Styela clava: one gene and its partners. The protein of the gene in region 1 purifies or fractionates together with the protein of each later gene. This does not show direct contact. Links are inferred from orthologs where the notes say so. Each region holds a gene or a part of one and is shown in the gene's direction. Other genes may lie near its edges. The genes, in order: phosphatidylinositol 3,4,5-trisphosphate 3-phosphatase and dual-specificity protein phosphatase PTEN-like; Parkinson disease protein 7 homolog; ubiquitin carboxyl-terminal hydrolase 10-like; OTU domain-containing protein 3-like.

Evidence for each region.
Region 2: the proteins of phosphatidylinositol 3,4,5-trisphosphate 3-phosphatase and dual-specificity protein phosphatase PTEN-like (region 1) and Parkinson disease protein 7 homolog purify together in Homo sapiens (affinity purification with western blotting; 4 studies listed by BioGRID, with this or other methods). This does not show direct contact. The link is inferred for Styela clava from reciprocal best matches to the Homo sapiens genes PTEN and PARK7.
Region 3: the proteins of phosphatidylinositol 3,4,5-trisphosphate 3-phosphatase and dual-specificity protein phosphatase PTEN-like (region 1) and ubiquitin carboxyl-terminal hydrolase 10-like purify together in Homo sapiens (affinity purification with western blotting; 4 studies listed by BioGRID, with this or other methods). This does not show direct contact. The link is inferred for Styela clava from reciprocal best matches to the Homo sapiens genes PTEN and USP10.
Region 4: the proteins of phosphatidylinositol 3,4,5-trisphosphate 3-phosphatase and dual-specificity protein phosphatase PTEN-like (region 1) and OTU domain-containing protein 3-like purify together in Homo sapiens (affinity purification with western blotting; 3 studies listed by BioGRID and IntAct, with this or other methods). This does not show direct contact. The link is inferred for Styela clava from reciprocal best matches to the Homo sapiens genes PTEN and OTUD3.

The regions. Positions count from the first base shown.
Region 1 is NC_135260.1:11,756,464-11,764,375, reverse strand, and holds the start of phosphatidylinositol 3,4,5-trisphosphate 3-phosphatase and dual-specificity protein phosphatase PTEN-like, read left to right. Parts: upstream 1-4,886; 5' UTR 4,887-4,999; coding exon 5,000-5,078; intron 5,079-6,223; coding exon 6,224-6,308; intron 6,309-6,986; coding exon 6,987-7,031; intron 7,032-7,107; coding exon 7,108-7,151; intron 7,152-7,912. UniProt on the Homo sapiens protein: Dual-specificity protein phosphatase, dephosphorylating tyrosine-, serine- and threonine-phosphorylated proteins.
Region 2 is NC_135257.1:17,241,648-17,248,345, reverse strand, and holds Parkinson disease protein 7 homolog, read left to right. Parts: upstream 1-4,200; 5' UTR 4,201-4,314; coding exon 4,315-4,410; intron 4,411-4,712; coding exon 4,713-4,874; intron 4,875-5,137; coding exon 5,138-5,288; intron 5,289-5,553; coding exon 5,554-5,708; 3' UTR 5,709-6,196; downstream 6,197-6,698. Other genes in the region: peroxisomal membrane protein 11A-like, read left to right, coding at 6,304-6,359, 6,447-6,562, 6,659-6,698. UniProt on the Homo sapiens protein: Multifunctional protein with controversial molecular function which plays an important role in cell protection against oxidative stress and cell death acting as oxidative stress sensor and redox-sensitive chaperone and protease.
Region 3 is NC_135262.1:10,709,759-10,717,784, reverse strand, and holds the start of ubiquitin carboxyl-terminal hydrolase 10-like, read left to right. Parts: upstream 1-5,006; 5' UTR 5,007-5,120; coding exon 5,121-5,138; intron 5,139-6,113; coding exon 6,114-6,179; intron 6,180-6,533; coding exon 6,534-6,561; intron 6,562-8,026. Other genes in the region: UDP-N-acetylglucosamine transporter-like, read left to right, coding at 815-1,747. UniProt on the Homo sapiens protein: Hydrolase that can remove conjugated ubiquitin from target proteins such as p53/TP53, RPS2/us5, RPS3/us3, RPS10/eS10, BECN1, SNX3 and CFTR.
Region 4 is NC_135256.1:9,157,285-9,164,153, reverse strand, and holds the start of OTU domain-containing protein 3-like, read left to right. Parts: upstream 1-3,845; 5' UTR 3,846-4,175; coding exon 4,176-4,262; intron 4,263-4,607; coding exon 4,608-4,705; intron 4,706-5,069; coding exon 5,070-5,218; intron 5,219-5,662; coding exon 5,663-5,775; intron 5,776-6,034; coding exon 6,035-6,157; intron 6,158-6,307; coding exon 6,308-6,424; intron 6,425-6,847; coding exon 6,848-6,869.

The DNA.
Region 1 (7,912 bases):
TCATCTGTAAAATGGGTTTCTTTGAAACGAGACAATGTCGCTTGATCTGTATAGTGTGCTGTACTGACTTGATGGTCCAGGAAGCCGTAATTGTCCAGTGGTTAGGTGAACCACCCTGCGACGGCGAGGAGTCCAGCAATCGTCTTTCACATAACCATCCCTGCATGGGATTTGAACCTGCGAATCCACGCACAGTAATCAGAGGTGCGGTGGCGGGCGTATTTCTAACGTTTAACACGATGAGCCACACTGCCACGTCACACTTGGATGATCATACAGTGATATTGTCATCAGGTCGTATTGCTCCCTGCAGTCTTCACCAAAAACAAAAAAATAGTGTCTATTTGTTGTACTGTCTGACTGTTGTATGTATGTAATCTATCTATCTCAGTATCTACAACATCGGAAAAATAAAATTAAAGCACTTGGAGCACAGGAATATGGTGGACATAATTATGTGAGTTTTGAATTGTATCGGTACCGATATTTCCTCAATAACTGGTATTTACTTTTAGGCTGGTGCCTGTAAAAACAGAAAAATGTTCCTGTACCGTAATTCAAATTCAGTAATATGTGAATACTGGAATATCTCGATACTCACTGTATATATTTGTATATTGTACTCTAGTACTTAGATGAAATACAATGGAAGAGATAAAATGAATGTAAACACATAGTGAAAAGTGGTGTCGTAAATCTGTAGTGGACCTCAGAGACCGAACCAGCTGCTTGACCACAAGCAGCCAAGGTTCAAAAAAACATTCCTGCAAGCTTCCGATTCCAAGATGTTTCGACATTTGCCTCAATAAAACAAACATGCTATTTTTCTCTGATCACGCCAAGCTAGTCATGGTAATAATTTAAATTAATTGTGATGTGCGTCGGCCGTCATATGACCAAAATTGCGTTTATTTGCTAAAAACTCTCAAATGCTATGAAATATGGCAAAATTTCTTTTTCTACTGTAAATCGGATTATTATTTTCAGAGGAATCCAATGGTGATGTTTTAGATTGCGTTTCCTTTTAGTTCATGACTTGTCCCAGTTTGCCAATATGGAGGCTCAGACTGTATTGTAATGGGAGGGTTTGCACTCCACTGTTATATTTGATGTATTTTAACGTCGGGGCTATTCTTGGAATCAGAGAACTGTAACATACTGTTTTAATCAAATCATTAATCAAATAATCTGGAATGATAAACCAGAATGCTATGTCGATCCCATACCTGACCAGGCATTGGTATAATTATGATGAGATGTTGTGGTTGGCCTTATTTTTAAGTAATAATGAATGCACTAATTCGATATAAAAAACTGAGCATATTTGATTGAAGATGATTTCGAGATTGAAAAGTGGAAAATGGAAAATATCAAGTTCTTGTATTGTGCTCTTGTTAAGGGTATAGAAGTCCTATCAGTAGTATTTAGATAGTTATTCCTTGAAGAAATATTTAAAAAGAAATTATGAATATTTTTATTTAGTTTAGTTCCAGTTATTTATTTTATAGCAAGTGAATATTTACATTTGGATTATTTCGAGTAAGGTAAATAAATTGAAAAAAAGCTCGCTGAGGCTGGGTGTGAAGTGGGCGTTTTGAATTTGTAAATAATTTGAGCAAATTGATTCAATTCCTCCATTATCACGAGCAATCAATTTTATTTCTGCGTTATGGTATACAGAGGATGTGTATAACACAAAATAAGAGAATAATCAAAAACTACATTCAACTCATTTGTATCAATGTCTCAATAAACTTGTACTTCTAGCTTAAAAACAAGCTATGATGGCGAAAACCGATTAATATACTATTCTGAATACACTGTATAATATTGGATATTCTAAATTAGTTTATGTTCATCAAATAACACATATAAGTTGATATATAACTTATAAGGAGTGATGTTAAATTTTTTAATACAATTAAGTAAGATGAAAAATTATGTGATTGGTTCTCTCTATTCAAAAATTTATTTTTGCAGCATGATTTCAGTTGCTCTAAATTTCAACTATTCTAAATTTTCCCAATTAAATAATAACGAATACAATCAATTCCAAATAGATTCTAGTATTACTTAATTTCAGATATTCTCTGTAATAAGTATTTTTTGAAAAAATTTTTTGTCATTTTTTACGATCGATTCAAGCTGAGTATTCGATTCATCTTATCTACTTCTAGTTAAAGTGAGCAAATAAATACACTGTGATTACTTGCAAAAACTAGGTAATTCAAATCATCAATGAGGATCTTTCAGCAGCTGTGTTGGGAATAAACAGCTTGGAAATTAGATTATTTTTTGATAAGGCATTATAGCTATGCACAATTCATAACTTTTGTTATTTATTAGGAGTGCAACAATGGAAGCTTTCTATTATGACATTCACAAGAGATTTGGTTTTTATATCAAAGATCATTAAAAACGTACTGCATAATCAAGTTTAGTCAAATACACCCTATTTACCTTTTGGTTATAGAAACTAAGGTTATTTATATTACATGTGATGTATCGATATAATATTTTTGTTAATCGTTTTTCACTTTTGTAAGAAAGGTCGTTCATTCTTTCTATAGAAATAAACTGTCATGCGATGGCATGTCTATTTAAATACTCAATTATTGATCTATGACGTTATTCATTGATACATATGTAATGGTTGTATATCTACATTTAATACTCCATGGTTGTTTTATAAATAGGATATTTCTGAATACGCAATTTTGTTGTGTGGATGCCAAGCCATTGGAGGAATTTTGTCTGAACGAATTTCAATTCTTGATATTTTGATGCTTTTTGAAGAATTTCAAATTGTGAAATTGGGGATTTTTATTTTTATCACCCCCTGTGCAACAGAATCATGATTTATGACAAATTGTATGAAGGATGGTTTGATTCAGGAGAAATGAATTTGCAGTATATGCTATTTGAATGAAGTACCCGTATGTGGTGATATATGATAATCTTGATTATCTTATGGGTTATTATCAGTATTTGAATTTTATAATTTTGTAGTAATCAATGTTTCATACCGAATACTTAAAGTGATAATTTTATAGTTATATAGCATATACCTGCTTTAAAATTTATATTATACCATTGCTTTATAATGTGATGTATTCAAAATCGATATTATGCTTATAAATCCATTTGGAAAGATGATAGGATTATAGCATGTTGCTTGAAAGTAAATTGGATTCCATAGTATGTTAATTTGTTCTTGGTGAGAAAATAGAAAACTCCTAGGATAGTTAATAGTCATTCCCACTTGGGCTGATAATTTTAGTTAATATTCTTTGTTCTCTTATCAAACAAAATTGACTGGTTATCCATTGTTGCTTTAAATCAAATAAAACATCTCCAGTTTAGCTTTTCCTTGGTGTTTAACAATTAGGATTGGTATTCTTTTCAAATTGAAGGCCACAGAGGATAAAGTCTAGCGATTTTTTGAAGTGAATGTATATTAAACTGTCATAATTCGTTGTAACTAACTATCAGAGATCAGTTAAATAAAAAATACCTGGTTGACCGTGCCCATACCTATTACCAACACTTAGGTTAGAGGTAGGGATGGTTATATGGTTCCAATCACCATTCGAATGGCCTCCCTCTCCCGTAGAGAGCATATTGGGCTGCCACTTTGACAGCAGGTTAGATCTTAAGGACAGTTATGCATCTATCGGTTCTATGACTTAAGTGAACATTTTAAACATGTGTAGTTAAACTAGTGTGGCTAAGTAATAGACTTAGCAAGAATATACATCCAAGTCTATTTATTGTCACTTGACTGACATAATCTATATATATATGTATGTGAATATTTATGCATATTATCGGACAAGGTTCCTTCTCGAATATGTGAAATATTATGCAACCAGTCATAGTGTGGGTTGCATGAGGTCATAGAGTTCATTGAACCAAATAAAGTAAATCATACTGATCTATGCTGTAGTGTCACAGTGTTAATTTTTTACTGCAAATACTTAATTATACCAACAGAGAGAGATAGAACAAGGAAGTAAATTTAGGAGGCTATAAATACCTGTTATAAAGCATTGTACATCAGGGTGCGTCCAGTGGATTGCTTTTAAAAAAAATGATATGGAACGATATTGTCTTTTAAAATAGCAATTATATTTGAACGTTTAAAACCGAGCTAATGATGAATGTAATTTGATCATTTATACATTGCGTGGTATCAGGTTTGTTATTTCAATTTCTGAAAAGTACAAATTTGACTGATGGCAGTGTAGAAATGTAAAAGTCTTGATTTTTTCAATTTGTTTAAGTTTTTAATACATAATTGAATACTTTTTAGTGTGGTTTTTAATTTTTATCCTATTTCTGAAATTACATGTAATTTCACACAGGGTCTTGCAAATATGGTAGCAATTGTAATCTACCACTAATAATCAGTGAAGTGTGACTGGCGAGATAATCTAAAACGAAAGTTTCAATGCTGTCAATGTCATGCTTCAATAATTTTTTGTCTATTATGAACTTCGTATATACCAAAGACGCAAAGTAGATTCATTTTCAATTTCATATCCACGACGAAATTAGGTTAACTATGAATTTTATTGGAATAAGAATTTAAAAATTTATAAAAAAAAGTGAATGGAATGATTTTGATTCGTCTAATCTAATGGTATGTATAAAGTTTATATTTCTGTTGGATCCAAATTTTGTTATAAATTGATTCTTGATATATCTTGACCAGGTTTGTTTTATTTAAATAGTTTTTTTTACTACATTTAATACACATATAAATAATATACTCACCGTTAATTGAACAAAGCACCTTAAAGTCCTTTTATCTAATTTCATTTATGACTCTTTGAGCACCCTGTATAACTAATTCAAGTTTTCATGTTTTTTTCTCTATTTTATTGTCACAGTGTAATAGATAGTTATTAATAAAAGGATTGTTAATAGAAATACCGTAGTAATTTTAACTCAGGAATTATACCTTATCGGATAACCGTGGATATTATTCAGCATCAGGATGGCAAACACAATAAAATCTATGGTCAGTAAGAAGAAACGAAGATATAAGGAAGGAGGATTCGATCTGGATCTCACATGTAAGTTGATAGATTTCATATTCGAATATAGGCCAAATCTGATGATAACGTGCCAAAAAAATTATGCATGTAATATACCAAGTTATTTATATCAAATTTGCATGACTAATTCATTTCAGTATTTTATGGAGCATAAGATACGCTTTGAATATTTCGTTCCGTCAAAAATAAATTGTCAAGCTGGAACGCCTCGTGTTTGAATCAGGTAGTTCCTTATAGCCTACACTCAAAACCAGTAACACCCAATGCACCTTTCGTATGAATAAAAACCCAATCTAAGCAATTTATTGACAGTGCGCCTTATGATATGGTAGTTTTATTTTTAAATATTCTGATAGCCTTTAAAGAGATGATGAAAACTGCTATTGCTAAAGTTTCTAAGGTAAAACAAAAAGAATCTCCAATACATATATATAGCAAGGGCTAGGAATTATTTAGTTGCTGTGTGCCATGCTTTACTCTGTCACATTGGGAATCTTTGCTAAAACCAAAAATACTGTAATTGTCAGCATTCAGTGTAGCAGTGAAATTGTTACATACAGATACAGGTATATGCAAAAATATGGGTTGTACTAAATTTTTAATATGAATTCAAGAAGAGTATTTTGGTTTATTATCAAAATAATGACTGTCCTGTCAGTGTTGGCAAACTAAATTATATTTTTATTTCCTATATTTGGGAATGTAGAGAGAGTAGGATTACCAGGTAGCAGTGAACGATTATGGTATTGCACATAAAATGTATTTTTTTAATATTGATCATTGTTTGAATATTTTTCAATAATGTTTTCAGCAGATGTTTAAAACTTTCACTTTCATTATCACATTTGAGATTTGATGGTAACTTTATTACGGTAGATATAATGTCTTGAATGTGTTGAATCATAAATGCTATATAACAGCACAATAATGCTTACGAAATGACTGCAGAACAAAAATTATAAGCAAGATGATTTTTGACTCGGTTCTTTCATGAAGTCTAAATTAAGCAAAATAAAATCTCAAATTCCACTGAACTAAAGCCGTAGGGTCAATATATTATGTCCCTGATATGATAGACTGATATACTGGTTCATAGTATTCAAGTTAAGGCATTCGGAAAACTGGCAGAAAAATTACTATGTTTTTTTTTTGTTCTCATTCAGATATCTGTCCAAATATTCTTGCGATGGGATTCCCAGCAGAAAGAGTTGAAGGATTGTACAGGAATAATATTGATGATGTAGTCAAGTAAGTAACATTTGAAAAACGAAATTCGGTTTAATTCATTGATTGATTGCAGAAGAAAAAGACTGATTTTCAAATTTTTATGAGTCCCGGTATATATATATTGGCTGATTTTTGCATGACATTGTATGTTGTGTTGCAAAAAATTTAAAACTTGATTGTTATTTGAGCTCAATTTTGTTATGGACATGCAGCCATGTGGTTGCAGTATTGCCTTGAAAATTAGAATTTCCAATCCTTTTTTGGGCCATTATGAAGCAGTAGCTGGGGATAAGTTTGCTTTGATGTTACATTTATCAACGGTGTATGCTTATTATCAACCTGATATAATGAACTCCATTGGTATGGTACAACTGATATTTTTGAAATTTTTATGCTTTTTCTTGAAATTTATGCTTTTTTTACAAATTATTCTGTCAATTTTAATCTGAAGTTTGTTTAGTGAGTGATTAACATTAAAATGAAATATATAGCTACTTTCATTATTAATAAGAGGTGAATAAATGTACATACCAAAAAATCAACCATGAAATTCATTCATACATGAGTAGCTTTAAACTTAGGATCATAAGAAATAATCTGAAGACTTAATGTGTAGATGTAAATCATCATATTCTAATATGAGAAGTGAAAAACTGTGTTGTATTTTACTCTGTAATATCGTTCTTTGTTTTTTTTCAGATTTCTTGAGTCGAAGCATCCCGGCCACTATAAAGTTTATAATTTGTAAGTACATTTTAATGGTCATAATATATTCACATGTATATATTGTATAAATATCATATTTTTTTTTTATTTACAGATGTTCTGAAAGGACATACGATACTGAAAAGTTTCACAAAAGAGGTAAATCTCTTTAATTGATTTAGATAGCTTTTTAAAAAAAATTTGGTTTAAAACTATTTTGAAATATTGAATATTCTAAAAATTCACCATGATAAAAATTATTGGAAAAATTCTTCAAGTTGAGAAAGAATTGTTATTGAAATAAAGATGTAAACATAGCTCAATATTTAAATCTTGCAGCCAGTTTTCCTTAATCTTACTTATAAATATTAATTGATTTAGATAGCTTTTAAAAAAATATCGGTTTAAAACTATTTTAAAATATTGAATATCCCAAAAATATACTATGTTGGAAAATTATTGGAAAAATTCAAGTTGCGAAAAATTGTTGTTAAAATAAAGATGTAAACATAGCTCAATATTTAAATTTTGCACCCAATTTTACTGTAATCTCAACAATAAATAGTAGCTGTATTTCTTGTAGAAATGGTGGCCCACTGCATTCATATTCATTCGCCACCTCACCCGAGGCGTAATAAATTGGGTCTGCAATTCCAAACTATAACTCCTTATGTAGCAGTGAGTGATTGTGTAGAGCCTTGTTCAGAGCCAAAGGAGTATAAAAAATACTCAGCTGTTGGTTACAGATATTTGTATCCTAATATTCTTTATTAATAGAGTCTGTTTAAAAAATTTGAAATTGATCTGTGATATTTCAGTCACCAGGATAATTAAAATAGCAATCTTTCAAAATATAAGGAAAGTTTGAAACATTTTAATAGGGTTGGATTTATATAAAATATTGGGTCTTCATTGCAAAA
Region 2 (6,698 bases), on another chromosome or scaffold:
GAAGTAGTACGTGTTCGCTCACCCAAGGGATTAGTATGGGATTAGTTAAACCTTTCGTACTCAGTCAATCACTGTTATTACTTTTGAAATATTTTTTCTTATTGGATTATGTTTATAATAGTTATTCTTAAGATAGGACTCTTTCAATTCTTGATAATTTCAACTTCAGTGCAAGCAGGGCTGGAGAGCTGGTTCGAAACCATATTGGCTCCATCTCACATTATATTCAAACTGTGGCCCCAGCTCAGGCGCTTCATTCTTCTATGTTCAGATGACTCTTTAACATTAAACAAGGATCCACTGGAAAGCACTGAATAGCTTTCCAGTTCGCCTAAGATTTTAACATAGTTTATTATAAACACCACACCATCACAGCACTATTTTTTTAGTTGATCAACACCCAAAAGCACCTCTTTCAACAATTTTTATCAGTAATTTAATGTTCGAATAAAGTCATCATTCAAACGACCTGTTTATTCTAATCACAATTTTCCTTTACCATTTGCAGTGTTATTCCTACAATCACTTCATTTTCTTGTTACACATAAAAACGATGTTTACTTATCTGTATGACCCCTCTTTAAAATAAACTCATTGTTGTCACTGTTATTCACAAATTTATTCATTTGAAGTTATTGCCCGATTCTATATCATGTATTTTTGTTTTATTGTGTTATTTGACTGTTTTTGGTGGACGGGCGCGTATTTTCACGTTTTTAACTTTTCTTAAGTTATGCCCGTCCTCCAGGTCCTCTGTGTTTTGTCTTTGTTCGTTTGTTATTGTTTTTTTTTATACCAGAGCGACCGAAATAAAATTGATTGATTGATTGACCGTAAATATATACTAGATAAGATAACATAAGATTTTATTTCGACTACGGACTACTACGGTTAGACCGTAAATATATACTGGTTAGACAGTTACTTGTTTCCGGAAGCTTGGACTTGATGGTGGAGGGAGCCGTAATCGACCAGCGGTTACGTGAACCACTCTACGGCGGCGAGGAGTTCAGCAATCTCTCGCACATCATCCCCGCATGGGATTCAAACCTGCGATCTCACGAAGGTTAAGCAGAGATGCTGTGGCGAGAGTATTCCTAAAGCGTAGCACGATGCGCCACACCGCCGAGCCTACTAACATCTAATTAAAAAGATTTTTATTTACGGGACGACCGTCATAGTCGGTGAGTTCCGCATGATTTTGACAAATACTACAGTATAATTGAATATATTACTAGAGATAGTGTTCAAACGTAAATAAAATTCAAGAGCCATCATATATGCAAACTACTGAATCAATTTATACGATTTTGTTATCTCTAAAGCCACTTTTGTCATATTGGATAAGTGGCAACTTTCTTTATGATTTGCCGATTGGGAGGAGGAAATTTTCGATACTTAATAATAGTTTGTGATCGTCAACAATAACTTATAATTTTCACTTGACTCTTCGAATTATATTCAGAAGTCATATTGGCTCCATCTCACATTATATTCAAACCGTGGCCCCAGTTCAGGTGCTTCATTCTTCTATGTTCAGATGACTCTTTAACATTAAACAACGATCCAAGGATGGTATTCGCGGTCACGCGTTGACTTTTTTCAGGAGCTATTTGAGTTCACGTCAGCAATGTGTTAAATTTGGTTCGAATTGCTCCAAACTCTCTAGTGTACAATGCGGAATTCCACAAGGATCGATCATTGGACCGATAATGTTTATTCTATTTGTCAATGACCTTCCTCATGCCACTAAATTACTTGTCAAACTCTTCGCTGACGATACCGGTTTGTTTGGAAGTTCAGCTTCGCCAAACGACTTGGAATTGCGGATGAATTCTGAAATGCAAAAAATTGCAACCTGGATGACCATAAATAAACTCACCATAAATATTGAAAAATCAAAATGCTTATTAATTAGTCCCAGGATAAATGAAAAAAATAAAATTCGGCTTCAAATTAATATTGACAAGGTTCCACTTGAAAATGTCAACTCATACAAATACCTAGGTATCCACATTGATGACCAATTGAAATGGACATCACACATTAATTACATTGCTGGAAAGTTGTCAAGTGCAACAGGTTTATTATTTAAACTAAGAAAATTCCTCACCATGCCAGCTCTCCGATTGGTTTATTTTTCTCTTTTCCAGTCGTATCTGCAGTATGGCATTATAACTTGGGGTAGTGCGTCATCGACTCTACTCCCCAGATTAGAAGTTTTGCAAAACAAAGCAATTAGAGCCATATGTAGTGCACCTTTCCGATCTAGACTAGATCCTTTGTACCACAGGTGTCGAATTATTAAGCTTGGTCATATCCATGAATTTGAGATACTGAAACTCATGCACCAGTACTTCGATAACAAGCTTCCCATGGCATTCGCGGGAATTTTCAGAATGCAGAGTAATATCCATTCATACTCTACTAGATCAGCTTTGTCAAGTTCATATTATGTCCCAAGATATTCATCAAGCAGGACACAGAAATCCATAAAATACACGGGTGTGAAACTGTGGAATGCCTTACCAAGTACCATTAAATCTTTAGGCTATTACGGTTTCAAATTATATCTAAAAAGTAAATATATTAGTTATTATCTCTCTTCCATCAGCCATTGATTGGAGTATTCAGTATGATTCGCCATCTTCTGTCCATAGCCCAGTAGTCGCATTTGTAGACCGTCGCCATGGCTGCCCAAAAAGCCGGAGGAACTATAGGTGTAAGGAGTCTATTTCTAAAGTACCCGGTACTTTAACTTTACCAAACTTGGTGCAACCTCTACACTAAAATGCCAAAATTCGTTATATTTTAATTTATTGAGCAAGCATATGCCTACCATTCTTTCGTAAATTTTATGCCCACTTACTGTGGAGCGTATTGTATATATATATACATATCAACGTTTTATGATTTATTAGAGCTTACCAACTCCTATTCAATTAATCTCTTACAATTTTGTCTTTGGTCTAACCATTTTCCCCTCGCTTGTCGTTTGTCTTTTATGTAACTTATATACATTTATTCAAATATGCCTTTTTTATGAATTTATAGTTGAGTTGTTTTTCTTTTTTTTTCTCTATTACATGATTTTAGTAAAGTTGCGTTTGCTGCGAATTTTTTCAATGATTCAAAATATGTTCATCACAACGACTATTGCATAGTCAATGTTTGTAGCAAATGTAGTTATTTTTTTTACACTGAACCAGTAACAGCGCTTTAGGTGTCGCTGCTTGAAGACCTAATATGGTCCCTCGCGACTCCTGTCGCACAAATATCATTATTATTATATTTATTTATTGTACCAATTTTTTTTGCATTTGATGTTTTTGTGACGACGAATAAATGATTGATTGATCCACTGGAAGGCACTGAATAGCTTTCCAGTTCGCCTAAGATTTTAATATAGTTTATTATAAACACCACACCATCACAGCACTATTTTTTTAGTTGATCAACACCCAAAAGCACCTCTTTCAACAATTTTCATCAGTCATTTAATGTTCGAACAAAGTCATCATTCAAACGACCTGTTTATTCTAATCACAATTTTCCTTTACCATTTGCAGTGTTATTCCTACAATCACTTCATTTTCTTGTTACATATAAAAACGATGTTTACTTATCTGTATGACCCCTCTTCAAAATAAACTCATTGTTGTCACTGTTATTCACAAATTTATTCATTTGAAGTTATTGCCCGATTCTGTATCGTGTATTTTTGTTTTATTGTGTTATTTGACTGTTTTTGGTGGACGGGCGCGTATTTTCACGTTTTTAACTTTTCTTCAAGTTATGCCCGTCCTCCAGGTCCTCTGTGTTTGTTCGTTTGTTATTGTTTTGTTTTATACCAGAGCGACCGAAATAAAATTGATTGATTGAAGTCTGGAATACAGAATCGGCATACCGGTAATATAAAAGTTCGACTTGAGCTCCTGACTTCGGAATAATATTTAGAAGTCAAGTCCATGCGATGTAAAAAGATAATCTTATTCTACTAATGAGCTGCCTAATTACATACTTTACATGGACTGTAGTACAAAAAACCATGGCTCACCATATGATTAAGTAATTTTATCGTATTTTCTACCCCTCCTACTGGGCGAATAAAATTCCTGTCCTAACCCAAATATGAGTACAGAGTCCCGGGTAGTGTAAAATTCGACTCCTGCTGTGGAGCTCAAACATTGCTGCATTGACTTCGTTTGGATTCATTCAATGCAATTGCACTAGTTGAGGGCTCTTTTTCTTGCTCTACGGGTTATTATTTTCACGATTATTCGCTTATTGAGTAAACGACAAAAAGAATTTATAATGAGTGGTTCTTTGAAAAGGGCACTGGTCTTGCTTGCGAATGGCGCAGAAGAGATGGAGGCCGTTATTTCCATTGATGTGATGCGTCGAGCAGAGGTTTGTGAAAATTCAGAATTGTTTTCCTTTTTTTTATACAACCTGGCTCTATTTCACTAGTTTAGAAACGCTAGGATTCAAGTGAATTATGATATACAACAAGTTTTAAGCTTTTTTATAAACTATACCGGTATTAAAGCAAAATTGAAATAATTTATAACGACAGAACTTACTGATGTAACAAACAAAAAGTTTTTTGTGACCAAATAATATTCATCAATGACATTAAAATAAATACCAATAAGCGGTATTGACAAATAATTATTCCATACACATCTATACTCTTAATTTTTTATATGCAGATTGAAGTGACTGTTGCTGGCGTTGACGCATCAGATAAAATTATGTGTAGTCGAGGGGTTTGCATAATTCCAGATGTTGATCTCCAAACAGCCATAGATGCTGCCCCGTATGATGCAGTTGTAATGCCTGGTGGTTTAAAGGGTGCGACCACACTCGCAGAGGTAGCTGGTTGCTTAAAATTGTTTTGAATTTTTAATATTCTATGTAGGGCAATCGCTTAAATACAAAAATATCGAGACAATATTGTAAAATCTTATATATTTGACTTACCTACTATAGATATTTATTAGAAAATATTGTTCGCTGACTAAATTTAGTAGATATGTCAATAATTCTTGGGTCTTGAGGTAAAGATGCTACAGTATACCACGATCACCCAAGATGTTTTAACCATCATTTGACTCATAAAATTGTTTCTGTACAGTCAGATGGCGTAAAGAAGCTCCTGGAGATGCAGATTCAACATACAAACTTAATCGGCGCAATATGTGCTGCTCCTATAGCTCTCAAATCTCATAACATAAAACCAGGGAGCAATATCACATCTCATCCATCCTTAAAGGACAAATTAGAAGGTTCGTCTTCATAAAAATACTTATAATCTGCGTCGCAATATCCACTCTTGTGTCAATTGGATTTTGTTAACGCGCACTTCTACGCTATAATTTACAGTCCCAGTAGTTTATGGCTTTTTAGTGCTTGCCCGCCCTTGACTTTGCTCAGAGATCAATATTCTATACTGAGAGAGTGCGTGCTAGATTTGTGAGGAATCATATTTTTGTATATTAGTTCATCTGTTACATAGCTTTTAAACTAACATAGTTTCTAACTGTATTTCAGGGTACATCTATTCTGAGGCAAGGGTTGTCAAGGACAACAAGCTGATCACAAGTCGTGGTCCAGGAACATCATTTGAATTTGCTTTAGAGCTAGTTGAAATGTTGAAGGGAAAGGAAGTCCGAGACAAGATTTCCGGACCGATGGTTTTGCCATAACTTGCCCACCGACTATATTTATATCATTCACTGTTAGATAACATCAAACATCATCTTTGCCCTGTTTGAGCTTGATTTATTCATTTTTGATAGTTGTCTCTAAGTTACGCAATTCAATTGCCCAAAATACGGAAGATCATTGACTGCATGGCAATTAACTGCGCTTATTGGGTTTATATTTTCATGTTGCCTTGACCAGTGATTCCCAACATGCTATGGCTCGTGGCCCCTTGCCCGTCCCGACTTTAAACACTCATGGCCCCCTTGTTTATCATTCATATCATTGGTCTTTATAGTGTAATTTTGATTGGTAGATTCCAAATCCCATTATGTTGAAACATTTCATGCACAAAGTGAAAACACCCTGTGAAATAACTTTATCAAGCAGAGTTTTCTTGTAAAGTGAAAAGTAAAATCAGTTTTGCGCCTAGCATTGTCGACCTCTGTCCACTGGTATTTTATACTATATATTTCTGTATAGTATGTATTCCTCATAATTCACTCCTTTTACATATGTGATTCTGGGATGTTTTGACAGAAATGCTTTTTTTCATTTCCAGAGCTATAGCTTTAAAATAAATCAGGTCAAGTTCAAATGGATGACTTCCTAGCTTTTTGCAACAAGACGGCTGGTCGAGACAAATTATATAGGTAATTGATTGTTTTTTCTCAAGACTGTTTTTAGGTAAATGTGCAGAAATTGGGATTTCTTGTAATTGAATACAACATGTTTTATAGAGTCACGCAATATGGCAGCAAATTTCTTGTATGGTATCTACTGAGAAATGGCAATAAGGAAAATGCAGTCAACATGCTCATAGAGCTGGAAAAATTAATGAGCACGTCCAGAAAATGTGAGTTTATATTTTAATAATTCTGGCAACAGACACAGATCTCACATTACCAAAGCTCAATTTACTGAATAAAAAAAAAATATACATTTTTTTCAGTATTTAGATTTGGGAAAAGTGTGGACAGTCTCAGAGCAGC
Region 3 (8,026 bases), on another chromosome or scaffold:
GTAGTTGGGAAAGTCTGTGGGTCGAAAAGTCGTTACAAAAACGATTTTGCACATGTCAATCCTATCCCTCACCTGACCACGCCATCCAAAAATTACATAATTAAAACGTCACAATCACGTCATAGAGCTTGCCAAAGTAGTCTATACATACGATCGCCTGGTATGCGCCAACGATAAAGAGCAGCTCATGGCAGCGATCTCTCTCATATCGGGATCATTTCGACGAGAAAACTAGAGAAGTAGCTTGTCGATTTTGGGTTATTGTCTGCATGTCTTGGATGACAGTTCGTATAGTTTGAAGGGCCCTATTACCGTATATTATAGTGACGTAATTAATTTTACCCAGTTAACAGTTGGAGTTTTTTCCTTAAAATTCCCAGTCCTAATTATAGATAAACATCACAATCATTAGGTTTTTATTTTTGCAATGTGACAACGAAAATTTTCTGTCAAAATGTGTTGCGAGCATGAAAGTTTTCAGCCATCAAACTTGGTTGACTGTAAACTTGAATTCGGTAACAGTCTGTGTACCTACCAGACAATAAATTCTATGTATGCCAAAAGTTTTTCTTTCAAGAACTTCAGTTATGTTGAGTTCACTACCTTGTAGCTGTTTGCTTAACAAATTGAAATATTTCCCTCCTTTTGTAATAATGAATGTTGTATCAAATTAAATGTAATCCTGATTTCATTTCACTGAACAGTTGGCGTTTTGTTTATCTGTCCATAACACACAGACTGCACAGATGCATAAAGTATTGGTAATATTATTTTATATTTGAATCACTATTCTAGTTAATCATAGTAAAAAAAAATGAATTCAAAAAAGCTGATTGCACTTGTATTACTCGTCATACAGACAACAACTCTCGTTTTGACGTTACGTTACTCCAGAACCAGACCTGTCGAAGGGCCACGATTTCTTAACAGTACTGTTGTGGTTATAGCAGAGGTGGTGAAACTATTATGCTGTATTTTAATGATTTTGAAATCAAAAGGATATTCGTTACGATTTACCGTGGATGAAATATTAAGAGAAGTCATCGGTCGACCAATTGAAACTTTTAAAATTGCCATACCTTCTGGTATGTATGCTATACAGAATAACTTATTATTTATAGCATTATCGTATCTGGACGCTCCCACATATCAAGTGACATATCAACTGAAGATTTTAAGCAGTGCAATATTTTCTGTTCTTTTGCTTGGTCGAAGTTTAAACAGATTGAAATGGATTTCTTTGGTTTTGTTGATGGGGGGAGTGGCTTTAGTTCAAATCCCACCTGAAAATTCTGAAGAAAAAGATCCTGCCTATCGTTGGTATGGTTTATTTGCTATTTTTTGTTCGTGTATCAGTAGCGGTTTCGCTGGTGTTTACTTCGAAAAACTTTTAAAGCGTTCGAATCAAAGTCTATGGATAAGAAACGTGCAAATGGCGTTATTTGGCACCATTTTTGGTGGACTTACAGCGTATTTTACTAATTATGAAGAGATTAGAAAAGATGGAATTTTTCAAGGATACGATCATTTAACATGGTTCGTTGTAATATTACATGCTGTTGGCGGTCTCCTTGTCTCTAATGTTATCAAATATGCAGACAATATTGTTAAAAGTTTTGCTGCTTCACTTTCTATCGTTATATCAAGTGCAGTTTCGTATTTTATGTTCAATGAATTTCATCCAGGTCCATTTTTTACTATAGGTACAGCAGTCGTTTTATTTTCTACTGTTCTGTATAGCAAATAGATGCAATAGTGGTAATATATATATTTGTGTGTTTTGAAATAGGTTCTGGGTATTGTAGAAGGTGACTATATCATATATTATCAGAGGGTGCTATGGGGTATATATTTGTGGAATATGGTCTTGTAAAGCAGGACGCAGGAGTGTGCAATCTTTTTTAATACAGAAAGGCCAGATACAAATAACTGGGTGAAACCACGAGCCGCACCTTTTTAACAGAGGCGTTCTGATAGTTGCAGGCACAAATATTTTTTTATTTCTGTTATGGATCTTATGCATTGCAGAAATGATGAGTTAATTGAGATGCATAAATTTCTAAAAAAAAACTGTTAAACTGAATCAAAAACTTGTTTCGCAGGTCGTACACGATTTAAAATTGGCACTACTCTGAGTCCGCACGTATGTTGCACACCCCTGTTGTAAAGAATAAAATATTTGATGTTGTTGGTAGTGACAGTCATAATTCTATTCGACTAAATCTGTGTTGTTTAGTTTACTTGCAATTACATCATGCCATTGTATTTTTAATGCTGTAAAAGTGTTAGTTGTGTCAGCAGGATTTTTGCTCCATGCAGATAAATTGAAGTCAATCATCATAACCTAACCACAACATAACTGGCTAACACATGAAAAAGCATGTCCAAGTTACAACTAGTTCTGAGATTGAATCAGCTAATTTAATTTCCCATCTTTTTTACACAAAAAAAAGCAATCATGCTACTGATGTTGTTCGAAAACTTTTCTCCGTCCTTTTCCAAAATTATCCTTGTTCAAGTATTCAGATATTCAAGATCGTTTTTTAACATTTTTCAACCGGTTATTCGTCCTTCAAATCATATTATTTGATTTGTATCATTTTAATTTACTGCAATATATTAGGCATAAAGCCATAATATAAATCATAGCTATTTCAATTAAATAGTTTAATTTGTAATATTTGCAACTGATTTATCATATTGGAAAGCTCAATTCCTAATAATTTGCTATATTTAACATATAAATTCTGAACATTTTTCGCAAATTTTGCACCTGCTGATGTCCGTCTGTCGTAAAATAGAAAGGATGAAATAAATTGTCAGCTGCTGATAGCTATTTACCACTTCTACTAATGCTTTAGCTTCTTTATCTGTGTCTGCTTGGATTATTTATGTATAATATGAGAATATTGTGCAATCATATGTTGAATATTGGTAAATGATTGTAGAAAGAATCTATGTTGTTCTAACCCTGTATCACTGTGCCAGTCATAAATCTATAAAAAAGAGCTTCTATTCTGAGTAGCCAAAAAAATCTCCCGTAAATTGCGATGAAATAAATATCCTATACTTCACCTTTTGCGCAATCGATAAAAGATGTCATATTTAATTTTGATGGCGAACTTATTTAGGTGGAATTCTCTACCCTGGGGGGGGGGGACGATCAACGCATGTCACAAGATCAATAACCAAAAGCCTCCAACTACTAGAAAACCTATATTGAATAAAGGTGCGGCCCAGTTATTTCCATCTGGCCCTCCTGTATTAAAGGTTGGAAACCCGATGCTGTTGTTGTGTGATTTTCATACTGAGTATGTTTAGTAAAATCCAACATTGCAATGTCATACAACATATATTTATGTAATTTATTAGTATTTAGTATTCATTAGATTCGTGTTTTCTCTGGGGCTGAACCCAATTTTAAATTATTGCTCCTGGTGCCATTATAAGCGTATAATCTCACATGTTTGCCATATCCAGCATTTGCTACGCCTACAATATGGTACTCCTGAAGTATGTGAATCAAGATGGAGGACACCGGAACGTAGTATATGTAGCAGGTTGGGGTTAGGCCATGATTTCTAGTCCTCGAACTCCTAATAGAACTTAAATAAAGAAAAATTTTATCTGGAATTATGGCCTATTCCTAACCTGGTACACATACTACATTCCGGTGTCCGCCATCTTGAAACGCATACTTCCGGAGTACCCAATTTATTAATATTTGCTTGTAATAAAAAGGGTACTGCCGTTAGTGTGCGCCTGGTTAGGGTTAGGCTGTAATTTTATTCCTATTTACCTTATTTTAGTTCTATTACGAGTTTGGGGACTGTCTGTGTTGGCCAAGTGAATATACTCCCTGCCCATAGGTTTAAGTCCATTTACACAACATGATGTAAAGTAGGCAAACAAAACTAGTTACCCCATATTGGTACACAAACTTCTGGAGCGCTATAAAAAGACCTCAGTATCACAAGTGTTGACAAACGTCTACCATGGATGAGCATTAGACCAAGCAATTCAAATTGTCTACCGGTTTCTTTCTGACTGACTGATAGTCATCACTGCCCGTTCGCATTCATTGTTCATACTATATTTATTGCATTGTAAGCTGTAAAGATTGTTCTTTTTTCTGCTCAGACAAAATCATAAGTTCATAACTATGCATGCTGCATGTGCAAAAATATTTTTGTGAAATTTGTACTACTTACTGTGGTAATGAATGTATTCACCGTTTACAATAGAGAATTTTTGACTGAAAATAATTGTACCATGCAAGTATTTATTAAAGTGGAGAGATGGATTCAATTTTAGTTGTGACTAACAAAAAAATGAGGTATCTTTTAAACGATGCGTCTTCATTCCCTTTTCTCTAAATAAGGCCCCTGATATCTGAAGATTTGTAAGGAGTTATTTTTATATCGTACTGGTATCCTCCCAGTTCGACATAGCCTACACAATTTATTTCACCACCTATAGAGGGATGGGATTTAAACCTGAGATGTGTATTCCTAAAAAAAAAAATTTTAGAATGGTGCATATTGGATATATATTTATATATTTGCCATTCATTTTAATTCAGAATCTTTGTTTCATAATATGCCTCAAACTGTTTTTGCACAAATTAAGTTTTACTGATAAAGTGTTGATAAAATATATATCGTATTCTGTTACCTGAATTTCAAGAACATTTTTGCTCTCACAGTGCACACATCTTTACCTCGGCCATTTTTTTTTTGAGATTATCAATCCTGAGATATTGTCTTTTGTGTATTATTGCATTGTCATACAATTATACGTAAAATTACTGTATTGTTTCAAATATCATAAATACGACCAATATGGACATGCTTTGTACCCAGGAGAAAGGTCTTCGTTTTCTATACTATCAAACTCTTTTGAGGATTATAGAAATTGGTATTCTATCTTTCTGACTATCATTCAATGTTCTACATGAGATCTGAATTATGGAACGTGTTATATCTTGTTAATCTTGTCTCTCTCTTAGAAATAATAGCTTCTGTAGATATTATTTTTGTGATACAATGAGTAAAGGGAATAGATAGATATTTGGTGTACGGAAATTGTTTCAAAGAATATTTGTCACAAGCTTGCCGATCATGGCATCAGCACCTCGAGTAAGTTGAATTTATATATTTTAATTTGAAAATTACCATAAATTGTCCTTCATGAACGTAACCCGCAATTGTATAATAGTTTTATTGTTCATGAATTTGTGATGTACTCTATTGACTGTGACTGCAACAGTCAGGCCTTTGGAGTCAAGAGGTCGAAGGTTAACATGTTCTCTCTGAAGTCTGAGCCAGAGTCGCATTCTCTAACTCATCAAAATTATGAATTCCCTGGTATTTGGAGTGAGTCTGAGTTACAATTTCAGACTTTCAATGGTGATAAAATGAGTGAAGTCTTTTAACTCAAAATGTATTGACTCTACTAAGCATTCAAAACAGTCTATTAAATAAAGCTGGTTTGTTGACTCCATAATTTTTGTCATCAGTATTTGTTATCAGAGTCTAAGCTGGATTCGATGTCTGAATGTTTTACAAGTCATTGACAAAAATTTTTTTAATATCTGAAACAAAATTCTTTTGGGAAATTTTTTTATCCCACGCGACAGTCGTATAAACAGTATTCACAAATGCAAAACATTTGATAGAAGTATGTCGCTTAAACTTTTGCTCTTGTATGAAAATAATTATCGAGTTTGTGTCCGTATCTTACAGATCATAAAGCGCACTGTCTATAAATTGCTTAGATTGGGTACTTTTTCATACATAAGGCACATCAGACTATGAGGCACTACAGGTTTTAATATCCATGATCCATACATTAGGCGCATTGGCTGATAAAATTCATGATCAATTTTTAAGAAAAAAAAAGATTTAAAGTGTGTTGTATGGCCCTTAAATTACGGTATCTCTATAACTCTATCCTATTCTATGGTTTCGACTGCATTCAGTTTGTTGCAAGTTAATAAAGTAAGTCGCAATTTAACAATCCAAACTTATTTCACCTATCTATTAATATTGACATGGGTGTTTCTTTGATTATAGTATCATCGAAGTTTTGAATTGTGCAAATTGTATTTTTAGTTCAGTTTTGGGGATTTCACAGAGGAAGAACATAATTGTTATTTAATACAACCTGGATGCGTGGAGGTATTTTTTTATTCTCGTTTTCTATTTCAACAGACAACATATTTTACATTATGATATACCGGCAGTAATATTGATTGAAGCTTCGTATTATATTTGAGAATCTGAAAAAGAATCTTGTACATTGTGTATCTTCTTATAAATCTATTCTACACAAGTGGATCACAATAACTTATTCATATTAGGTCTCACTGTTGATAAGAATCTTGGTATTGAAACAAAATACCCTAATTCAGTTGTATGGTATGAAGAATGTATAAAGTGTGGTATTCACATTTAAGGCTTATTTCTTGCTCATTGGGTGGCATATATATATTGGCATACATCAATCTAATCAAAATTGAAATATTTTTTCAGTTTCCGAATTCATGCAATTATGTAACACGTAAGTGAACGTTTTCTTGATCTTATTTTTTTTTTAATTGAAATAAAATAATGTAGACCCAGAGATTTCGCAATAAATTGAATATTTGAATGAAGCAAAAAACCATATTTGAGGGGGTTCAATTCGTGCGAAAATTCATAATTTCATTATGGAAATAAAGTATTTTTATTAGATATTTCATTAATAGTATTATACTCATGTTTTGGTCTACATTTTGGCTACATTACTTGAGAGTTATTTAAAATAGAGCTTATTTAAAATAAAAAATATTAGAGTAATGTAAGACAAAATTTGAAGAGATGTTTTCCAAAGTTTTGTAATTTGATTTTGTTGTGTGATCTATTTTATTGATATTACAATGTAATTGGATGTAGAGAAGTACCGATACCACTTTTGTCACCGATACCGATCCGATACCAGCAAAAAACGCCGATACCGATACGCCGATACTACAAAAAGGCCGATATTCCGATACCGATACTATGTAATTATTACTTAATTAGGTGTGCTGTATAGGGCAGACGGGTTAAAACAACGGTCTTCGAGCGTTGGTCATAGTACACATTATTTCAGATCGAAAAAAAGATATATCACATAATATGAAGTTAATGTTTGGTGTTTGCTTTAACTGATTAAGATACATTGTACAGTAACGCTAGTAATCTCGGTGTTCAATTAGAAAACTCATAACCCGGAATGTCCAATTTGAATTTAATGTTAATAATATCGCGGCCTTCGAATATCGTTATTCGTGTTTAAAAGAATATCGAATATCACCCACACATTCTAGCGCCTACGTTCAAATTAAAAGCATTTCACAAATATTTTATTTCGTGGCTAATCGTAATCGTCGACGCAATAAGTCAAAGCCAACATGGAAGAATATCAATCAGCACCGACAAGAAGAAGGCCTACCTATAACCGTCGAGGATGTTTTTTTACTTTACTATTTTATAATATTTTACAATTGCTATCATATATTTTGAGACAGTCTGGGGCTAGGCGGTCATGTCAATATATCTATAAAGTAATTGTGTAGTTAAACAAAATTAAAATTAATACCTGCGTAGATGGATAATTGTGTCGGAATTTAGTTTATCGATGTCGACGGACTAAATGACACTCGTCCTTGACGACAAACAGTCAGAATTTATACCCGTGCCAAAAGTCCATGTGCCGTTAATAAGGACCCCAATTCATTCCACTGTATGATTCAAAACTGGGCACCTAGTTGCTTTTTGTTATGTGCTGTGTTGATATATTTTTTCATAATTACTATGTAATATTAAAAATGTCAATATAAAAATTTGACAGCGGAAATAGCCAAATTAATTAGTTGAGCTAGTTTGGCTGATAAATAGCTAAAAACACGTGAATCCTATTCTCTCGCGGGGGTAGCTCACGATCTCTCCAGACAAAAAATAAATTAAAAAGTAGTATTCCAACGTATCTTTCAAAACATTCT
Region 4 (6,869 bases), on another chromosome or scaffold:
ATCGGATCCCGTTGGATTCGAATCCACCGGATTCGGTATTTTATATTGCCCATACCTACCCTGTCTTATATCAAAAACCTAACTGACAAGTTCATATTGAACAAATTGCAAGTAGACTAGCGTGCCATGACTGAATTTAAAAATTTTGTACCGAATTTCCCTGTTCTACTTCGCGTCTGCAATCTAAAAATATCGGCTGGTGTTCTACATGTAAAACTTGTGCTACGAAACCGTATCCTGTGATTGATGACTGGTACTTGTATGCGAATTTGTTCAATTTACAAACAAATAAACATTCGCAAACTTAAACAGATGTTTATGTTAACTACTTTACAAAACTAGGGGAAAATGGATATTGTGTATTGAACTGCAGGTCCTTTCTCCTTGATTACTTCCTAGTTCGGTTCCGTATGTATGGGGCACTCACCACAAGGATGCTTGAACGAGATAGTTTTAAAGTGAAAAGTAAAAAGAACATGATCTCTTTCAACGAAATAGTAAGTATATTTGTGAGCTTTCGTTAGATCATGGTCTAACTTCTTCAAACAATACAAGATATAACTGTAAATATAAAAGATCATATAAATTTAGTCTATCATTGAGTTTCCTATAACTGGATATGGTTGCTATCGTATCATCTTCGAATAGCCGGTTTAACTGATGTGGTTGGGTTGTGGTTCGTCTATTTGTGTAGTTTCCTTTGTTTGTTTTTGAACCTTATTTGTTTGTATTTTTTTTTATAGTACTGTTTGTCTTTTGGTTTTATATTTGCATTTGGGCCACGTCCCCGTTTGAATTTTAATCTTTTCTATTGATTCCCTGTGGTTGCCGAGTCTTCATTTTGTCAATCCAGAATTTGTTTTTCCTGTAGAGTTCGTCGTGGGTTAGTGAGTCAATTCCTAGGACACTGAAATCGTCTATATTGTGCCCTTCCCTGTTGAATTGGTTGGTAACTGGTGTTGGGGGCCCTTTTCGAATGTCCCTAAGGTGGTCTGACGTACGAGACTTTAAATTTTCTTCCGGTTTCCCCAATGTACTGTGCTTGGCATTTTTTACAGGTATACAAATTTTTACTTTACAAAATGTAGTGATGTTTTTGGATACAATACTCGTTCGGTTGGTAGCAGACCCTATTTTGTCGAAAGGACAAACTCTAGTTTGTCATTTGCTTGAAACGGTATTCCTGATGGCGTTAAAGAATCTTCTTATAATCGTCCCAAATTTAAATACATGCAGCATCTTATATTGGTCATTAGTAAATCAGTCATAAGTAGACTTTCACTGAATTTACCCACTAAAATTATTTACATAAAGTCGACTTTGTTTAATACTTATGAAGTTTTAAAAAACAACAAAAATCGACCGCAGTTCGGAAACGGCTTTTGATAACGAGCGACTAACATACGGGCCTGGCCGGTATTTTAGTCGTTGGGCCTGACTAGGGTTAGTTCGGATACCTATAATTTTTACTATCCGGATAACGGATATATCCGGGTATTCCGTATTTTAACTATCCGGTTGACCGGATAGTTACTTCTAATTTTAAAGATCCGATTTCGCAAGATTTTTACGGCGAATTGACCAAAAACCACCACACAGTTCTATTGTTAATAGCTCAAATTCGCAATATCGCAAAAATACGAATAAAAACTGATATTATTTATGCAGCTTACTACGTATTTTCATATATGCAGAAAGCGGTGGCATTTTATAGTAGAAGTGCTTTAATTTTAACGTATGTCGACGCAATCGCGAGATACGTTGAACAGAGTTATTATGGAAAGACATTTTAAAATGCTTGAATCAGCCACAAATTGGTTATTTTGCGCAATAGAAAAATTTAAAAAGTTGAAAACATGCACATTACATGCAATCGTATACCGAAAATTTTGAAATGCTACACAGATCACATAGATTACAAAGTATTGGGAATTAAGTCCTGGCTTGTTCCATCATGAAATGCGTTCCTTCAATACACGCAATAAACTAAAAGTCACACCCGACCAAAAAGCCACAAACTCACACCCACACATTCAATACTTTTCAACCTAATTGGTGGCTAAATATGGGCAGAGTAGTGTGAATAGAAGGTGTTATTATATGCTCTGAAGTCTGGGAGATGTCAAGACGCCACTCAACAAAAAATATAAAAATTACTAATGCGCATATACATTATTTATATTGCTCTATTATCCGGTTAACCGTCACAATATTATCCGGATATCAGATAGTAAAATACCTCTCGGTTAACCGGTTATCCGGATAACCGCTATCCGGATAAACCAACCCTAGGCCTGACCGACCGCTTAGTTTCAATTGGTACGTAATGGAGCTTTCCCCGACCTTTGACCCCCAGAAAATTCTTATACTTCACCGTAGCAAAATTTTCGGGGCTATTTTGAGAGTGCTTTTGCGAGTTGGCGCCTGTAAAATGGGATATGTGTTTCAAACCATCATTGTGATTTATTGCATACAACAAGCTGTTTTTTAAAAGTACCGGTAAAGAATTTTAGGCTAGTCTATCACAGCTATTTCTACACTAATTTTTATTACTGCAATTATTAAATTAAAACTCCTAGGAAAACAGAGTGATCATTGATTTAAGTTTCAGAAACACAACTGAAAACCAACGAATAGGGTTCGAAAACGCGAAAACGAGATAATGTTTACAACCACGCTTGGAAATCTGTCTGAGTGATAAAAGTGTCTGAGCGGATGCGAAAATGGGGCATTGTTACGTCACTTTTTACATCTTGCTGATTGGCCAATGTCACGAAGTTGGGAGGTTTTTTGCTTCGCCCTGTCCAAAACTTCTTTTCAAAATATCGTCGATATATTAGGCTGTAATTAGGCCTACATGACCCAACCTTAAAATTGTTATGATAAATGCATTTTTTGAAACATTAAGCATTGTTGATACAAAGTTCTGAATATCCGTAATGACTTATTTAATGCACTATAAAATATTCGCCTTCCTTTAATTGTTTTTTGTTGTGCTCGTGTTTTTCAGTTGACAAAACAAATGAATCTTTTTCTCTCTCTGCTTTGAATCTGGGTTTAAGCGTAGTAGTATATATTTACGGTTTAAGCCAAATCAGATAGGCGTAGCAAACCAGTTGATCCTTCAATGTGTGCGGATGTGACGGTGAGGGAATACGCAGTCGTAATGTAGAGTCATGTAAACCATGTAAACAGTTGAGAAAAGACTGGCGGATAAAAAATATATCCGTTTGACAAACTATGTCATCGTGGATGGAACCAACTCCCATTGCTCAGGAAACAAGTCTCGGGCAACCCACTGATCTATTGTCTCTAGTTCCTGCATATTTTTATGGTTTATTAGTTTTGTACAGTTACTTCGTTGGATCGTCGCTAATGAAAAGATCATCTCATACAAATTTAAATTTATCATTTATCAGGCGTGGTGACTATATTATCCACACAATAGCGCCTACGAAATTGACCCGCATTTTATGCCAGACTCTATTGTTCTCATTTCTTTTGTCGCATACAATTTATGATTAACGACTCGAGTGTAAACAAAGAATTTCTGCATATGTCGTTTATTGTTTACCTTTTTAGAACCTAATCCTTTTGTGTCGTTGTCCCACCCAACATTGGTTTTTGACAAGTTCATGTCTCGAACAAATTTTTATTCGTTTCGTATAATCTATTGTAAAGCACACTAAAATGCGATTTATACCCTTTTCCCATCCCTTCACATCAGAACATGAACGTGAACATAAACTGCCTATTGTACATATCACCGTGGTGCCGTACCTCTTTGTCCTGTGTATTTTATTTGTATATTTCATGTCTCTTGTCCTACTATGACGCAGCAGTCCTAAACTGCAGTTATACCTGTTGGGGTGATGTCGCACATCTGTGTCGTAGGCCAGTAATGTCTTGAACATGTATCCCGTCTCTTTTATACCGTTTACTTATTATGCAGATACTGTTACATTTTTGAGGCAAATAAACATACACCTTAACACCATACAATAAACCTTAATGTTCGATAATAAAATTCGAAAATACTAATAGACCCAGGCGCCACCTCGAGTCAAATCAAACGGGGAGTTTATGTTGTGTCTTGTGACCCAGGTTTCAGTTCCTGGCAAGGCTGCGTTTCCTTGTCGCCCTTGATTACTGGATTATATATCATTTGTGACAGAATGTCGAAAAAAACAGGTAGAAATTCAAAGACGGACGTGGACAGAGCCGCTAAAAGAGCAGCACAGAATATACGAAAGCATAAACAGGTACCCTATCGGTACCGGTATGGTGCCGTACCGGTACTGTACGGGTTCATTAAATTTCGGAATTTTGAGACCTTAATTCAGTTAATGCTGTAATGGGTACCGGTACTGGTACGATATTGTTAATGATCCCAAAAAGTCTGCGAACTGACTTGTTATCTGAAAAACTAATGTACATTGATCGGAAAAATCACATTCTTGTCTTAAGTTTAGAAGTTGCTAATGACTGAAGGACCAAAGGTTCAGTCCAAAATTCGCAGCTTTGTGTCTTTCATATTCAGATATTGGTATATCAGTACTTGGTATATACAACCACCAGATAACAGTTTACTTATTTCTAATTTTCAGTCAATGAGTTCCTATTTATCAGAAGATGTGAATTACGGAGGATTTTCAAATCATCTCGCACTTTTGGGATTGAAATTGAGAGATATCCCCGGAGATGGGTTAGTTTATTTGTATGCTATATGATTTAATTTTTGTTCATAATTCTAGTTTATAATACAGTAATATAACTGATTGTCTAAGACCGCAGCTCTCAAAGAAATGATAAAAATGCAGTTACAAATCTACTTAGAAAGAAATTGTAATAAAAGGGAAGTCTACATTTGCTTATTTACCAAGCATATCTACAACAATGATATTCAACAGCAAAGGTTAATTTACAGAATGGCAGATGCACATAGCCATACTTACCAGAAATTAGTTGAATAACGATAAAATGAAATTTTAAAATTATTTATATGATTTTAATGTGTGCATACTTTTTGCTGTTTTTATTATCCTATATTGTTAATCATTTCTTTACAGAAACTGTCTCTTTCGAGCTCTCGGTGATCAAATGGACGGTCATTCAGATAACCACCTTCGACATAGAGAAGAAATCGTGAAATACATGACTGAACATAGGAGTGATTTTGAACCATTTGTGGAAGATGATATCCCTTTCAATCGTCATGGTATGCATTTGATGTTCATTATTTTACTTTACAGAGTTTAGTTCCATCAAAAATTATTCTTCAAATCTGAAAATGGCCTCATTGAACTGTTGTCACTAATTAAAGTCGCAAATCTATTTCTTGGGAATATTTTACCCTCGGTGTCTATGGGCCATTCCCAAATTACAGACAACATTTGGAGGTTTAAAGAGAAGTGTGAAAGCTATAGAAAAGCCAAACATTTTTCCTGTTTTCTTGCAATAAAGCTCATAGTAGTGCTTCACTGTTAATCTCTGATGTAAAAATGTTTTGGAACTCCCTGCAAAATCATATTATAGATTTGTTTCTATTTTGTGTTTTTAAATGGTGTGCTATCTATAATGTGTTTTTCAGAAAGAATAATTCTCATTAAAAATGTTCCAAATTTTTTTTTTTTTGCCTATACTTTTACTCTAAATTTTGCAGTTGAAAATCTACGAAACCCTGGAACATATGCAGGAAATGATGCAATTGTTGCATTTGCCAGGAAATACAATGTCAATGTGGTGATTCATCAACTTAATGCTCCTATTTGGACTGTAAGATCATATCATAATGAATTCAATTTAGCCTTAAAAATAGACGGTGAATCCAAAATAGTTTCAAGTACAATATAGAAGTCATTAAATTTGGAATTGAATGGGTAACTTTTACTGAACAGTTTTACTGATTTCTGAACTTTTAAGGCAGTTTTCCTGAGCCGACACTTGTGGATTGATTGGTTCACTGTTAGTTGTACTATACTATTTACCCATAATGTATGCATAAGCACCATTCTGATAATAGTTTAATTCGCAGGTGAAAGGCAATGAACAGCCGAACTCCAGGCAACTACATATTGCATATCATAATGGAGATCATTATTCAAGTATTAGGAAGATTAATGACAACAGTAATGGACCGGCTAATGTGAAACTTGGTGTGAGTGTTTTTAAGAAATTTGTACATGATGGGACTAAATTATTTGGGCACACACCCATACGCTGAAGTGACTTTATATAAATTTCAATAGAAAGAGTGGTAGATTAATACCATGCCAAAGGATATCTAAATAATGAAAATTCTTTCCAGGAATACAAGGAAACTGAAAATCTTATGCAAAGAAAGAATGTGAAGAAACGATCAGACAGTGTTTCTGAGTATGAACTACAAAAAATAAAACGAATTATTGAAGTAACAGGATGTCAGGTATCAGAAATTCCTAATTTAAATACGTTAAATAAGTCAGAGTTTTTCAAACTGGATACAGTGACTGTAGGATTAATTTTTTTTAATTTTCCAATGATAGTAAAGCCAATTAACTATAACCTCTCGTCAGGTTGCCAGTTCATTCAAGATGAACGAATTAAGCCAGTCTAACCATAAGAGTTATTTGACTAGACTAATCCCGAAACTACAAAAACAATGTTGTTTGCATGAAATGTGTCTGGCTGAGTGGTTGCACAAAATTCAAATGCTACACCACTGTAAACGGTCATTGGAACAAACAAGGAAGTCAGTGCCAGATTCTGGAATAAATACCTGAACAATCTGATGTCAGAGAGCCTTGTCCATCTCATTTGGCAAGCTTCAGGGAATGCAATATGCTATTGTAATTCAAAATTTTCACAGGATCGGAAGTTGATTAGGAAAA